2 linked regions of the Oryctolagus cuniculus genome follow. The protein of the gene in region 1 purifies or fractionates together with the protein of each later gene. This does not show direct contact. Links are inferred from orthologs where the notes say so. Each region holds a gene or a part of one and is shown on either strand. Other genes may lie near its edges.

Region 1 (7,501 bases):
CATCACAATTCCTTTGCTACAAGACTTTGGATTTTGTCTGGACATTTTTGTGGTTCACAGGATTAATACACTTACATGATTAACTATTTGGACTTAGTTTTGATTTCACATTTACTTTATTTCTTCATGTTTGCTTATTTTCTCCTGTTATTTCTCTGGAGTTGCTTGATGTTCTTCTGTGTGTGTTTTACTGTTTCCTCTTTTTGCTTCTGCTTTCCCAGAATATCTTGCTTGTAGAAACTAATAAGAGCTGTGTATTTCCAAACAGTCTTCACATATCATTATGGTATGAAAGGGAAATTCTATTACATCACATTCCTTCAACTTCCTTTTCTGAATTTTGATTTTACTGAAGCTGGTTCCAAGCATTGACAACTTCTTTTCCTAGGAGACCTATTACTATCTGCCTTTTGAATAACCTGCCTGGAAGGAAGAGACTATTTCACATATTTCATTTATATCCTGCACATTATCAATCAGTGTTTTCAAAGTGTTAATGACCAGCTCCAGATTCACGTGGGTGCTAGTATACACACATCTGCATAGGCTCTATCCCATGTTTAGTCAGAGTATCTGAAGGTGGAGCTCAGGAACCTGCAGGTTTTCTTTCTTTTGTTTTAGATTTATTTATTTGAGAGGCAGAGTTACAGAGAGAAAGAGAGGTCTTTCATGCACTGTTTCACTCCCCAATTGGCTGCAACAGCAGGAGCTTCTCCCAGGCCTCCCATTTGGGTGTTGAGCCTAAAGCACTTCAGCCAACTTCCACAGCTTTCCCAGCCCATTAGCAGGGTGCTGGACCAGAAATAGAGAAGCTGGGACTTGAACTGGCACTCACAGGAGATGCCAACATCGCAGGCACAAACTTAACCTACTACACCACAGCACTGGCCCCAGGAATCAGCAGTTTTTAACAAACTTCCTAGATGAATTTTCTCCAGACTAAGATTTCATAATCATGGCATAATAATAGTTTCGTAAAATCATCTTAATCAGTGATACACTTTACCAACCTCCAAGTATTTCTCTCATGTACTCAACTTTCTTTTGAGCCTCAGCCTTGAATTTTCAACCACTTCCTGTATATACTTACCAGAATATTTTCTCATCCAATAGTGAACACATTCAAAACTAAATCACCACTGGGTGTCTCCAACTCTAGCATCACATTAGCAAGAGTTATCTTTGGAGTCATTCTTTACTCTTGGTCACCATAGTGGCCACGGTGCCATGCACTGAGAAAGACAGTGAAGACATGACCAGACTTGGGTCATGCCTTCAAATTTCTTAGATTCTTTTACAGAGTTAACGTAACACTATGGCAACTTTAGCTTTTTTCTCAGAATATTTTACTTTCCTCATCAGTGACCTAATCTAGAATCTTATCATTTATTATTGATTGCTGTAATTTTTTGAGTCTTTTTGCTCCTAAACTGCCACCTCATTTAAAATTAATCCACCAAAAATTTAAGCCTTCAAAACAACCATTTTAAAAACTTTTTATTTCAAAATAGTTCTAAATTTACAAAACAGAAATTGTGGAGGTGTACAGAGTTCCCATATACCTCAAATTCAGGTTCCCCATTACATTTTTTTAAAATATATTTATTTATTTATTTGAAAGTCACAGTTACACAGAGAAGGAGAGGCAGAAGGGGAGAGAGAGAGAGGAGAGAGGAGAGAGAGGTCTTCAACTCGCTGGTTCACTTCCTAGTTGGCTGTGACAGCCGGAGTGGTGCTGATCTGAAGCCATGAGCCAGGAGCTTCTTCTGGGTTTCCCATGTGGGTGCAGGGGCCCAAGGACTTGGGCCATCTTCTACTGCTTTCCCAGGCCATAGCAGAAAGCCGGATCAGACGTGGAGCAGCGGGGACTCGAACCAGTGCCCATATGGAATGCTGGCACAACAGGCCCCAGCTTCCCCTATCATTAACATCTTACATACTTGTCACATTTTTTAAAAATTCTGGTTAATGCTTTCTTGTTCTCAATTGTTTATTGGCTATTTTTCAGACTAAATTTGAGGTCTTGATGATATAGTCTCCAGAGAAATTTCTCCTAGAGAATTGTTCTTTCTCTATCAGAAATCTGAATTTGCTGAAAGCTTGTCTCTAGAATGATAACTTTATACTTTTTGATTAACCAAGCCATATTTTTCTCTTAAGGCCTCCAGCAAAAGGGCTGGCCCTTTATATATGCTCTTGCTCCAAACTCCTATGGTGACTCTCTACTTCACCTGCTAAGCATTTAGCATGTGCTCCTTGATATTATTACCTTTATTCCTAATTCTTCAATTATTCCATTGGTTTCTTAAATGCAGAAACAATGTTTTTATAAACTTTTTCTTTCTAGCAATCCAGGCTTAACGCATAGTGAGCATTTAATAAATCTTCACCATCAATTTACTTATGCATTCCCTCATCAAATAATTACTGAATGCCCCATATGGTACTTGCTTTCATAGGCTAATAATTTAGCTGGAAATACAGATGTTAAATAAAAATGAGATGATCAATAGGGTTATTCATGGTAACACAGAAATGTTTAATGCAGACCTATCACAGGTCAGGCACGAGCACAATATAAGCTGAAAGCTGACACGGCTGATGGAGGTCGCATGTAAAGCACTAAAATGCAACGTTACAAGGGCAAACGGAATATCCTGGTTGCACAAAGGAGGGTGCAAAGATCTCTGCCACTTCACGCTTCCACTGGGTCTTGAAGGAGAACTTTAAACAACAATTCGGATGATGCAAGACTTTCTTGCAAGAGCTGTTTTCAGAAACCTGGAAAGCTCGTTCCTACATCATCTGAGCAAAACCCTGAGCTCAGCCCACGAAGCTGGGACTAGGATGGCAGGTGCCTGGCGATGGCTACTGCCCAGGGCAAAGTCCCGGTCGGCGCTGCTGGGGCTCTCTAAGCCTTTCCTCGGCCCTGCCCGCCAGCATGGCCAGTTATTCCCAGAGAAAGCCCCTCGGTGCCAACAGACTTTGTCAGCACCAGGACAGAGCAAATCTGGCATCTTCCAGAATGTTAGGGATTCTCAAGGGCGGCAAGTAAGAGAGTCCGCCGTTTCCAATACTCAAAAAAAAAAAAAAAAAAAGCCTACTCCAAAGTGCACATTTCTAACGGGGCCACGGGCCAGGTTTCCTCGTTTCGTGCTACAACTGCAACAGGCCAATGTTAAGCCGGGATTCTGACACAGCTGTCTTCTGGTTAAGCACCACGCGGTTTCCCATTGTTGCCGTGTTAAATTTAGTAAACTCTTCAAAATACGGGAGCGAAACCGGGAACGCCTGCCATGACGTTTGCCATTCACCAGCTGTCACCGGCGACGCTGGGGAAAAGCGATTCACCTCAGCAGAGCCAGCCCGGCGACCTCTACAGCTGCTCCACGCTTCTCGGCTCCTTCCGTGCGCCCCCAGACACCTGCGCCCTCGCCACCGAGCCACACCGCCCGCCTCTGAGGAGACAGCCACCACTCCCACCGCGCCTTCCGGAAGGCGGTGCGCCCGCCCGCACGCACGCACGCATGCGCGATGCGGCCTCCGCGCGGCCGCGCCGGGGTCGGGCACCCGGGGTGCCCCGCGAGCGTCGGCGCCTCCGGCGGGCGCGCGTGCGCAGTCGCTTTCCCGAGCGCTTCTCCCCGCCCCTCCGGCCGTCCGTCAAGCCGCCGCGCCACCCCTCACCATTCATCCCACTCCTCTCCATCCCACCAATCCAAGAAGGCCCTCGCCTACGTCAAGAACGAACGCCGCTTTCGACCGGGGAGTCTCCGGCCGAGGACGCTCCCGGAGTTGTAGCGCGCGCCGCGCCCGCCCCTTCCGCCGCGCACGCGCACGCGCACGGCCGGCCACGACGCGCCGGGGTTGGCGGCGGCCGCGAGGGCGGCAGTGGCTTCGACGCCGCTCGACGAGTTTCCTCCGCCCCCTCCCGTCGCGCGCTGGTGTGTGGTTGCCTTTAAAAAAAAAAAAAAAGAAAAGAAAAAGCCAACTTTATTGTTCCTCGCCCCACCTCCCGGCGCGGCGCGCGCCCTCAGGATGCACTGAGGCGGGGCGGGGAGGCGGCGGAGGGTCGCGCTCCCTCGGCCCCCAGCGCCGGCCGCAGGGGCGGCAGTCAGGATGTCCAGCAGCCGCCAGGCCGGCTCCGGCTCCGCGGGGACGAGCCCCGGCTCCTCGGCGGCCTCCTCGGTGACTTCCGCCTCCTCGTCCTTAGCCTCTTCCCCGTCGCCCCCTGCCGCGGCGGCGGCGGCGGCGGCGGCGCTGGGGTCCGGCGGGGCCGCGCAGGCCGCGGGCTCGGGCGGCCTCGGGGGTCCGGCGCGGCCTGTGCTGGTGGCGGCCGCCGTGTCGGGCGGCGGCGGCGGCGGCGGGGCGGTGTCGGCGGGCCTGTCCCGGCTCAGCTGCGCGGCCAGGCCCAGCGCCGGCGTAGGAGGCAGCAGCTCCAGCCTCGGCAGCGGCAGCAGGAAGCGACCCCTGCTCGCCCCTCTCTGCAACGGGCTCCTCAACTCCTACGAGGACAAAAGCAACGACTTCGTCTGGTGGGTTTGAAGAGCACCCCGCTTCCCGCTGGCGAATTCGGGAGTTCTGTGCCTGGGGCCGGCGGGCTGCAGTGCGGGAGAGCGCGGGATGCTGGTGCAGAAGTGGCGCCTGCAGCGGGATCCGATGCTTTGCAGACACGTTCCGGCTCGGGGGTGCTGGGGTGGGCAGTGCGGGCGTCCCGAGGCAGGGTCGGCCGCAGCAAGAGAAAGAGGCGCTGGGGAGTAGTGCACGGGGGCGCCGGGAGGCGTGCAAGGTCAGGTCAGTGGTCGTTGCTACCAGGAGAAATTTGGGCGAGGAGGTGGGGTCTGGAACGTTTTGGCTGTTTGGTGACCCGACAGTACCCGTGGTGGTGAATTCAATTTGCCAAGGGAGAGGATCTTTCCTGCTGGGATGCTGAGGGATGGAGTTGGTCAGAATGTCCTCAGAGGAAGTGTGCTGGATGATGCCCTGAACATGGGTGTGGGTGTTTTAGGAAGAGGGGTTTAGTGCAAGCACCCATCGTGTGTGAATATAGATATCTCTCCTTTTCCATCTCAATGGTTAAGGCGATTAGTTTTAAATCTGCTCTTGAGGCTACAGCAGCCAGTCTGTGCACAAAAAAATTCCACTTGTCAGGTGGGTTTCTTGAAAGAACGAAGCACGTTGATGAAATATTATCCGTGGGTCAGGTGTAATTGTTTTACACTGTATAACTGAGTACACGGAAACTTGAGTGATTTGAAATGCTCCGTGTAGACATTTTGTCATCATGGTTGCATCTTGAATGATACACAGTAACATGTGGTTGTATTTGACTCAAAGGCGATTTGGTTACTTTCAGTGAAGGGTGAAGTTCATTGTCTTGCTGAGTCCGTTTTGGGGTTTTCATTAGGCTGTGCTTACTGTTGGTAGGATTATGAGACAGCAGCAGTTTTTAGCTGATTAAGAACCGACAGGGATTTGTGCCCTTCCTGCAGGAAGGCTCGTTGATAGAACTTTCAGTGAGTGTAGGAAGTTGGCTTGCACATTCATGGGGGAAGTTGAAGATAATCGGAATTGTCAGTAAGCATGATAGGGCTAGAAATGGAAATGATCGGGAACATTCATTGATTAGATGTGCAGACAGATTCTTGTTCCTGCAGAAGGATTACATCCTTATTCATAATTCTGCTTTTATTCTGGATTCAAAGTTAGTTCATTTTTAAATTGACACTGGGCTATACTTGGGATTGTTGTTCATAAATAAGTTGAACAGTCTGTGGCTGGGTCTAAGAGTTGCTTGCCTTCCCTCCCAGTCCCAATAGAGCCACACCATGAGGTAAAAGATAATAAAATAGTGGGAGTCTGCAGAATTTAGTTGTCTTTGTAAACACTATTTGCTTTTCAGTTTTCAATAGACTAAAAGAAAACAAACATGTCAGCATCTGTGTAGATCACTGAAATAGTATGGAAGAGGTGAGAAATAAGGGAAGCAATCATTCAGTCACTCAACAGATAGTTGTTTTTTAACTTTTATTTAGCAAATATAAATTTCCAAAGTACAGCTTATGGATTACAATGGCTTCCCCCCACCCCCCATAATTTCCCTCCCACCCGCAACCCTCCCATCTCCCACTCCCTCTCCCATTCCATTCACATCAAGATTCATTTTCAATTAACAGATAGTTATTTGACATTTGCTTTTTGCCAAACACCCTATGAGTTTCTGTGTACTGTAAAATACGTTGTAGGAGTAGATGGCACTGATATTTAATTAGTTTAAAATTTTATTAAAATTTTTATTTATCACTTAAATTTTTTTAAAGATTTATTTATTTGAAGGTCAGAGTTACACAGAGAAGAGAGGAGAGGCAGAGAGAGAGAGAAGAGAGAGGTCTTCCATCTAATGATTCACTCCCCAGTTGGCCACAACGGCCGGAGCTGCGCTGATCCGAAGCCAGGAGCTTCTTCCAGATCTCCCACACGGGTGCAGGGGCCCAAGGACTTGGGCCATATTCTACTGCCTTCCCAGGCCACAGCAGAGAACTGGATCAGAAGTGGAGCTGCCAGGTCTCAAACCGGCACCCATATGGGATGCCAGCGGCGCTTCAGGCCAGGGCATTATCCTGCTGTGCCACAGCGCCAACCCCAACTTTTAAAAATTTCAATCTAGTTTTGAGTCCTAACCATGTTGCCTAGACTATTGATTTCTAGTGTGGAAACATCCAATGAAAATATTTAGGTAAAAACTCTGAATATTTCACTTTCTGTCTAGGAATCTCTTTTGTCTGTTGCTTCTTTATCTGGAAAATTTGAATATTCAGTGGAATTAACTAATGAGAGACCGTTTTCTGTTTCTTAAGCCAGATTTGCTCTTGGCCAAACTCTTGGGATAAGAGGATATGAATTAGGCAAGGCCCAAGGAATCCTTTTCATTTCTGATTGGCTCTGGTGGTTGGTTGGTCTGGTCTTGTATGCCTCAAGGTCAAACTGTTGACCAATTCAAATTACTCTGCACCTTTATATCCAAGTGAGGTCAAGTTCAAATAATAATGATGATTGCTTATTCGTCTATAGCACATTTTAAGCATAGGCTTATACTTAACATTTCATTTTATTCTTACAGCAGTTCTGTGAGCTTACAGAGAACTTGTCTTTTAAAAATACAATTGCTGGCCGGCGCCGCGGCTCACTAGGCTAATCCTCCGCCTTGTGGCGCCGGCACACCGGGTTCTAGTCCCGGTTGGGGCACCGGATTCTGTCCCGGTTGCCCCTCTTCCAGGCCGGCTCTCTGCTGTGGCCAGGGAGTGCAGTGGAGGATGGCCCAGGTGCTTGGGCCCTGCACCCCATGGGAGACCAGGAAAAAGCACCTGGCTCCTGGGTCCTGCCATCGGATCAGCGCGGTGCGCCGGCCGCAGCGCGCCGGCCGCGGCAGCCATTGGAGGGTGAACCAACGGCAAAGGAAGACCTTTCTCTCTGTCTCTCTCTCTCACTGTCCACTCTGCCTGTC
Region 2 (7,472 bases), on another chromosome or scaffold:
TCTCTGTGTAACTCTGCCTTTCAAATAAATAAATCTTTAAAAAAAAAAAAAGCTCTGGGCAAAAAACGACAGGATGGGTGCCATGTGGGAAATGAGAAAAGGCATTAAGGGAAAACTGGACTTGGAAGCAAAATGCTCAACCAGGAAATCAAATGTCAGGGAACTTCTCGTTAAAAGTTCGGAAGTACTTTCCCACGGGTCAGCTCAGGCCCAGGCCAGTGTCCCGCAGAGTCAGCAGCTCATGCCTGGTCAGTACAGAGCCCAGGACTCAACACTGGTGCCCCAGGTTCCTTAGGTGCAGCCAAATAGATAATTCAAGGGCTAAAGGCAGCATGCCCAGCGCCCACTCTGTGTAAGTTACACAAGTGGAGGCAGGCAAGAAGGTGGAAACAGTTGGACTTTAAAGCCTTTTTTTTATTTTATTTTTTTTGAGACGGAGAGCGATCCACACTGCATTCTCCACGGGTGGGGGGGGGGTGAGGGGCAGCCGCAGGGCTGGCTACTCTAGGCGTCCCTTTTGTAGGGGCTGGCTCCTCTGCGCCGCAGGCACACGGGCCCAGTGCCAGGGCGCACGGACAGAGCGAGCACACAGGAGCTCCTCGCGAGCCCCAGCATCCAGCGGGAGAGGACGGCGCCGCCGAGGCCTCCCCGGGAGGGGGCAGGGGGCGCCGGGGCAGTAGGGTGCTGTTTGGTTTGCGCCTTGGAACTCCCAGTGAAAATTCTCGGCGACGGCACTTAGTGCTCTGTCGTGGAGCGAGCAGGACCGCCTCTCGTGCTTCCCAGCTGCAGGGATCTGATTCGCAAACACACCATCTTGCAGTCAACGCTCGAACGGAAAGCAGGCGGCCGAGCTGCGTGCCAGCCTCGGAGTGATCCGTTTCCGGGTGGGGGAACCGACGGGAGCGGACTCCGGAGAGGACGTGTGAGAGCCCCGACCCTCCCTCACCTCGGCTCCAGAACCCACCCACCCGGAGCCAGTGGGGTTTGCTCGGGCCTTGGGCCTTGCCAGCATGAGCCAGTCACTAAAATCTGTTCGAGACCCAGACTCAATGGACGCTGCTGCTTCTTCCCACTGGAAACGCAGGCCTCTCCTAATGGTGGCTGAGATTAGAGGGCTCGGTTTCCGTTCTCCGTGTTTCTGTGGGCCCGACGCCCGGCTTGGTCGGCGAGTTTCAGTGTGTGTGTGTGTGTGTGTGTGTGTGTAATGACGAATTCCTCTCGCCTGATTCTAAAACCATAACTTCGCTGGGTGCTGCAGCTGCGATGGTCTGGCGCCAAGCGACCCAATCCAGGCCGGAGGGAGAAGTGGGGGTGAGTGGGGAAGGGGAAAGAGCCGAGCTTCGGCAAAGTGGGAAGTAACGGCGGCTCCGCCCGGCCTCTGCCCCTTTAAGTGCTTCACTGACTCAGCTAAGCTTCCCCCTCAGGTCGCGTTTTTTATGAATGAAAAACGTCCTTACATTCATTACATAAACAAGCCTGTGCTGATTGGCTAACGGCCCCCGGTGCATAAATTATGTAAAACAGACCCCAGAGTGGGGTGGAGAGAGACGTACCGTTGGCCAATGGGAGCCGGAGTTGATGGGGCGGCTCGGCTGGATTTGCCCGAAGACAGGGTAAACAAGAGGTGATGGACAGCCGCGGGAACGGCCTCGGGCCAATGGGAACAAGGGTGGGTTAAGGCCGCAGGCCAATGGCGGCGGGCGAAGCAGTGGGCCGCTGGGGGCCGGGCCAGCCGCTCCAGCCTGGTTGGCAGCTGCGGCGCAGAGTCCAGCCGCTGGTGTGCGGAGCGGTTCAGTCTCCGGAGCGGTTCGGCCCAGCCATTCGTCCAGGCGCCCAGGCCCGGTGCGCGCGTGCGTGAGCGCGCCTGCGCCGCCCGGGCCGCTGCAAGGGGAGGAGAGCGGCAGCCTCAGGTGTGGGGGCGTTGCGGGGACAGGGGGGCATCGGAGGGGGTGTCCTGTAACGCGTCCGAACGGCCCAGCTGGCGAGAGTTCGCGGGCTGTTCCTCCATCCTCAAACTCGGGGTGCACATCTGGGGTGAGTCCCCCGGGGCTGGCTGACCGACAACCCCCCACCGCCGTCCCCCGCGGCCCGGTCCGGTTCGGTTCCAGGGAGGCGTCGGGCGGGGGCGGCTAACGGTTCCGGAGCGCGAGAGGAGCGGGTTCCGCACGTCGCTGGGGAGGCGCGCGGGAGCGCGAGGTGCGGGGGCTTCAAGGTGGAGATGGGGAGCGCCGAGTTGCGGAGCTTTGCAGTCTCTGGAGATCTGAGCCCCGAGGGGACTTGGAGGCTCGCGAGAAGAGACGCTTGGCGGAGCTTTGCAGCTGGGGGGTGGGGTGGGGGAGGAGTGCGTGAGGGCCACTGCCCCCCCAACACCCAGAGAAGGTTAGTGACACCGGAGGGTGTAGCCTTCGGGGTGGGGGTCGGCCAGGAACTTCTGCAGGCCTTGCAAGTTTCAGGCTGTGGAAAGTGGACGCTCAGCCCCGTCTGCCCCCATCATCAGTAAGCCGAGGGCGTCGGGCTGCGCAGCGACTCCCGAGGAAAATCGGGGAGCCCCCGAGCAGCGGCCTGCGGAGGGTGTGGGGGAAGCGGGTGCGGAGGGGGATGGAGCGATGCTGGAGCCTCGGGCTGGATTAGGAGACGGGCCGAGTCTTCGGACGAGCCGGGCCTCTGGGGGGAACGGAACTCCCGGTCGAGGAGGGGGTGCCGAAGAGCGATGTGTGGATCTGGGGGGGTGGGTTGGAGGCGCTTGGTAGCGCCCGGCGCAGCACCTCGTTTTATGAATGTCGGCGACTTGATGAATGAAGCGGGTTTCTTTCGTTGGCTCGCTGCTCCCTGCGGCTTTTTTTTTTTTTTTCCTTCCCTCTCCCCCTTTCCCTTTTTGTGAATGAAGCATTGAGCTCTCTTCCTAAAACGCTGGGGTGAGGGGCCTGCGTCGGAGGCTGGGCGTGCGTTGGGAGTGGGGGTGGGGGCGCAGCTGAAGGAGTTTTCATGAATGGGGAAGGCTGGGAATTGGGTGGAAGTGTGTCTTGTTTTGTGAATGGGGCCCAGCGCGAGGGATCCAGTTACAGCCTCTACCTGAGGTGGCGGCCGCGGCTCGCTCTCCATTCATAAAACCGGGCCCGCTGCGCGCCGCGGGGGAGGGGCTCGGCCGCGCCGCAGCGCTGAGTTAAAGTTTTCCTGGGGGCGCCGCGGGGCGGGGGCGCGGGAGGGGGAGCGCAAAGGAAGTGGCTTACACTCCTGGATGGACTCGAGCCTTCCCTTCGGGCGCATAGCAGATACTTTGAACACGGCGTTGCTAGCCCTTGAACTCCGGAGGCTGCTTTCAACTCGACGCTGCTTTTTGTGGTTCGCTCATGGCAGGTCTTTTTTATTTTTTCTTTCCCCTCTTAATTTCATCTTTACAAATAGATTTGCCCTTCAGGGAGAAGTATTTTATCGTGATATTCTGAAAGTGTCTCCCCTCTGGTGTCCTGCCCCACCCCAATAGACGCTGACAGAATTTCTAAAGCCACGATTTAACCAGGCAGATTTTCCGCCGGAGACAGAGAGCTCTTTCTGGTTGCCCCTTCGCTCACTTCTGAGATTTCTCGCGTTTTGTGTACGGGTTGGTGACATGTGAGAACGAGGCTTTATCCTGAACTCTTTTGCGCTGTTTGGAAGGCAGGCGGGCAGGCTGGCCCCGGGTGTTTTTCTAGGAAGTTATAAACTGTGTGCTGTTTTGCTCCTCTTTCTTTTGACTTTGAAAATATCTGATTACTTGGGCCAGCGTGCTGAGGAGGAGGCTGGCGGTGAAGGGTTCTCTGGTATCCTGCTCACTTTCGAAAATTTGAGATGCTCCACGCAGTGTGAAAAACAGATTGGATGGAATTGCCCGCTGGGAATAAAAAAGTTCCCTGTTTAAAATTCGTGTACAAATTAAACAAAAGAAACCCTTACTGCCTTGCTAGAGCTAGGCTGAGTGAAATTAATGCATTCCCCCATTTTGTAAGAACCTATGTTTTCATATGGAGAATAAAACGGAGTTCCAGAAGCTGGAACCTTTCTAAAATTACTATCACTTTGTTCCTCCAAAATTAGAGAAAGTTCTCTCGCCTCCCTTCTGATTCTTAACCTTTCTTCGCAGTGCTAAACATTCACCAGTGCTGAAATGAGTTTTATTTATTTCTTTGTTGATATGTCTGGGGAAATTGACTTCACTGTAAGAGACAAACTGAATGTTCTGCCATGGATGTTTCGCTTTAAGCATTTTTTTAAAAGACTTTTGGCACAGATGCACTTAAAATATGTGTAATGGAATTTAGTTTCGTTTATTACTTTTCACAGACTTTTATTCTGTCAGAAGTTGGTGATATCACAGATAAGTTACCATGGAGACAGTTTGTGATATTATAGACACTACAGGTACACCTGTTTGGACAGAAGGTTTAGATTTTAAATAAAGAATTGTGTGTGAAGAGCTTACCTCTGATCAACTTTATTCCTGGAACTATATATAGTATTTTACCACTGACCTACAAAATACTTTTAGAAACACCATGTATGTCAGGGTGTTAATTGCCAATAATTTGGAATACTTAAACCCAGTTTCTCTACTTCCTGTCACTGCACTATCAAAAATTAAATTATCTCCTTTTAAAACCCTGCCCTGGGGGATCTTGCATATGAGAGAAATTTGAAATCACCCTTTAATAATGAAATAAGGTCTTTTTCTTTTTCTGATGGGGGGACAGGCAGTACCAGAACCTTGACGATGATGATGAGAGAGAGGGAGAGAGAAAAGAAAGGAAATGGTGCTTGAGTAAATGGCATTAAGTCCGTGGTGCAGCTTTGATACCGTTAATCAAGCCTGCCATTGGTCTGTATAACTTACGCCTTGAGTGGGCTTTCAAGTACTTCAGAAAACGGTAGTGATTTGGCACAGGCCCTAAAGGAAAAAGTAGTGTAAAATTGCTTCGTTTCTCTCCCTGCCCCGCAGTTGAAGATCTCCCAAATTCCTGTTACAGGAGGATTTCCTTTGCCCCAGAAATTACTCAATGCTGAAACCTTTCAAAGCGGCATTAGAGACGTTGGAAGCATCATGGATGGATTTTATGATCAGCAAGTCCCTTTTATGGTCCCAGGGGTAAGTCCACGTGACGTTTGGTTTGTCTCATCCTCCCTGCTCAGTGATGAGTCTTCTCCATGCTGCTTCAACGGGTCGACCCCCTTTGACCTGTGTACCACACTCAGGTGTTCTGGCCTCTTTCAGAAATCCCGATCAGAGGAATGCCGAGGGCGGCCTGTGATTGACAGAAAGAGGAAGTTTCTGGACACAGATCTGGCTCACGATTCTGAAGGTAGTGAAGCACACCCCTCCTGTGTTGTGGCTTCCTCCAGTCACGCTCCCCCGCCAACCCCCCACCTTCTCCCAAGCAGAAGAAAGATCCTCATTCTGGGGTCTCCTGTTTTCAATTCCAGAGTTGTTTCAAGATCTCAGTCAACTTCAAGAGGCTTGGTTAGCTGAAGGCAAGTTTCTTGGCTGTTCTATTTTTCATCTAAAGCATTTCACTGTGCTTTTTAATAAAAAAAAAAAAAAATCCACGGTCTAAAATGAACATCTCTTTTGCAGCACAAGTTCCTGATGATGAACAGTTTGTCCCAGATTTCCAGGCTGATAACCGTAAGTGTCTCGCGGGGCTCGGGCGTCCGTTCTGAAGCGCGTATTTGATTCGGATCACCCAAGTCTGGGACAGCCTCAGCCAGAGCCCGCAGATTTTGCAAGTAGTTACTTGTGACAAATCAGAGCTAACCCAGAAAACTTGTTTTGTTCCTTATTGAAATGATTCCTAAAGTGCTTCTACTCCTTTGCAGGTGAGATTGACGGAACAAAATTCCACCCCACATTTCTTCCTGCTTTTACAGCTTTGCAAACCTTCTAGCTGAAAATTAAGTTTAACTGACATATATGATGTTGGACCAAGCATCTGTTCGCTAGACAGTATCTGACAGCTTTTGGGTTTGTTTTATAAATTAAGTCCTGGATGCAAATCACGAACCTGAGGTTTTCCGTTCTTTTTAAAGGTGCAGAAAGTAGTTCATGGGAAAATCCACTTAATTGTGGTCTCACGCAACGTGTTTGTTGTCAAACTCGTTTCTACTTCTAAGCTGACAAGGGGTGGTCGAAGAGTGACCTGACTGGCAGTTACTTTTCTCATAGTCCCCCCTGACTTTGCTGTTCCAAGAGTAGAAACATTTTTTTTTTGAATGGTCATTAAGTGCTTATTCCTCGAGATAATAAAATGCAGTGAGGAGCTCAAAAGATGGCTCTCAGTGCTGGCAGGGGCATCCTCAGCCTTCACGCACTGAATCGTCTGGGGCTGTCCTCCACAGGTTTGGAGGCTTTTGTGGTCCAGGCAGAGCTATCAAGGACAAAGCTGCCTGATGAAATTTGAGCAGCACAGAGCCGCTCTAGAGAGCATTAGTCACTGGCGAACGAGCAGGTTTAAGAGAGGCCTGGAGAAAATGCTGCCTCTCTTGAGAGTTGCATCATAGAGAAATTCGTGTCTCTTAGTCATAGTTTATAATAGCAAGCACCTGAGCCAGGCATGGATTCGATGTCTCATTTTTGCACCAGCAGATTCTTCCCAGCTTTGTTTTATCTCTGGGGTGTGTGCATAAAAATGCCAGTAGGAGACAGAGTATCTTTGGGTCTAAGTAAAGCTGGGTATTTTACATTTATGAAATGAAAGAACAGAAGTCCCAGCTAAACGTTCTTTAATGATAGGCCTCCTGTCCAAGGCAGAACGCCATGAAACTTTAAAAGGGATTAAACTGTAACCCACAGATGCTTGGTTACCTTAGCTTTGTCACAGCTTGCTCTGGGTGTTTTCTATAGGCAAGTAAATGAATTTTAATTATTGCCCTTTGATTGCTTTCAAGTAATTGGGATGCCTGCCACTAGAAGGCTAAATAAAGATAACTCAAATTATGTGTGTGTGCATGTGTGTGTATGTGCACACGATGAAAGACGGGATTTGTAATCCAGCTTTGTTCCCTGTTGACGGTTTGGCCAGTTCTTGCTCAGAGCAGCATCAGCTGCAGTCTGGGAGGTGGCTTTCTTGGCAGCGATTCTTTGAAATGCTTTTATGACACCTTGGTTTGTTTCTCTGGAACCCAAAAGAGAGAAAAGAGAGGTGTGACGCTATGTGCACATTGACCGCGTGGCCTGCAGCAAGGGCTGTGTTCCATAGAGAGATGTTAACAAGTAAGATTTGTACCTGAAGAGGTGTTTCTGTGTGGGAATGGGCTAAAGTGGAGAAATCAATAAAAGTGTTTTGGTTCCTTAGAAATAATTCCTACTCAGCGAATGGTTTATGCTAAGTTCTTTAATTAAAATACCAGACCTTAAATGGAGTTGCTTTGGGAGATGTTTCTGCTTACCAAGTATGACTTTTTTTTTAACCTTGTTTGCTTTTGCTTTAACTTCTTAAGGTTGA

What was found.
Region 2: the proteins of COP1 (region 1) and ETV5 purify together in Homo sapiens (affinity purification with mass spectrometry; 6 studies listed by BioGRID and IntAct, counting the BioPlex papers as one, with this or other methods). This does not show direct contact. The link is inferred for Oryctolagus cuniculus from reciprocal best matches to the Homo sapiens genes COP1 and ETV5.

The regions. Positions count from the first base shown.
Region 1 is NC_091438.1:4,385,873-4,393,373, reverse strand, and holds the start of COP1 (E3 ubiquitin-protein ligase COP1), read left to right. Parts: upstream 1-3,840; 5' UTR 3,841-4,116; coding exon 4,117-4,532; intron 4,533-7,501. UniProt on the Homo sapiens protein: E3 ubiquitin-protein ligase that mediates ubiquitination and subsequent proteasomal degradation of target proteins.
Region 2 is NC_091435.1:95,816,657-95,824,128, reverse strand, and holds the start of ETV5 (ETS translocation variant 5), read left to right. Parts: upstream 1-3,198; 5' UTR 3,199-3,350; coding exon 3,351-3,357; intron 3,358-4,972; exon of another isoform or gene 4,973-5,000; coding exon 5,001-5,119; intron 5,120-5,245; coding exon 5,246-5,333; intron 5,334-5,454; coding exon 5,455-5,502; intron 5,503-5,605; coding exon 5,606-5,656; intron 5,657-7,472. Other genes in the region: uncharacterized protein, read right to left, coding at 1,554-2,129, 3,073-3,102. UniProt on the Homo sapiens protein: Binds to DNA sequences containing the consensus nucleotide core sequence 5'-GGAA.-3'.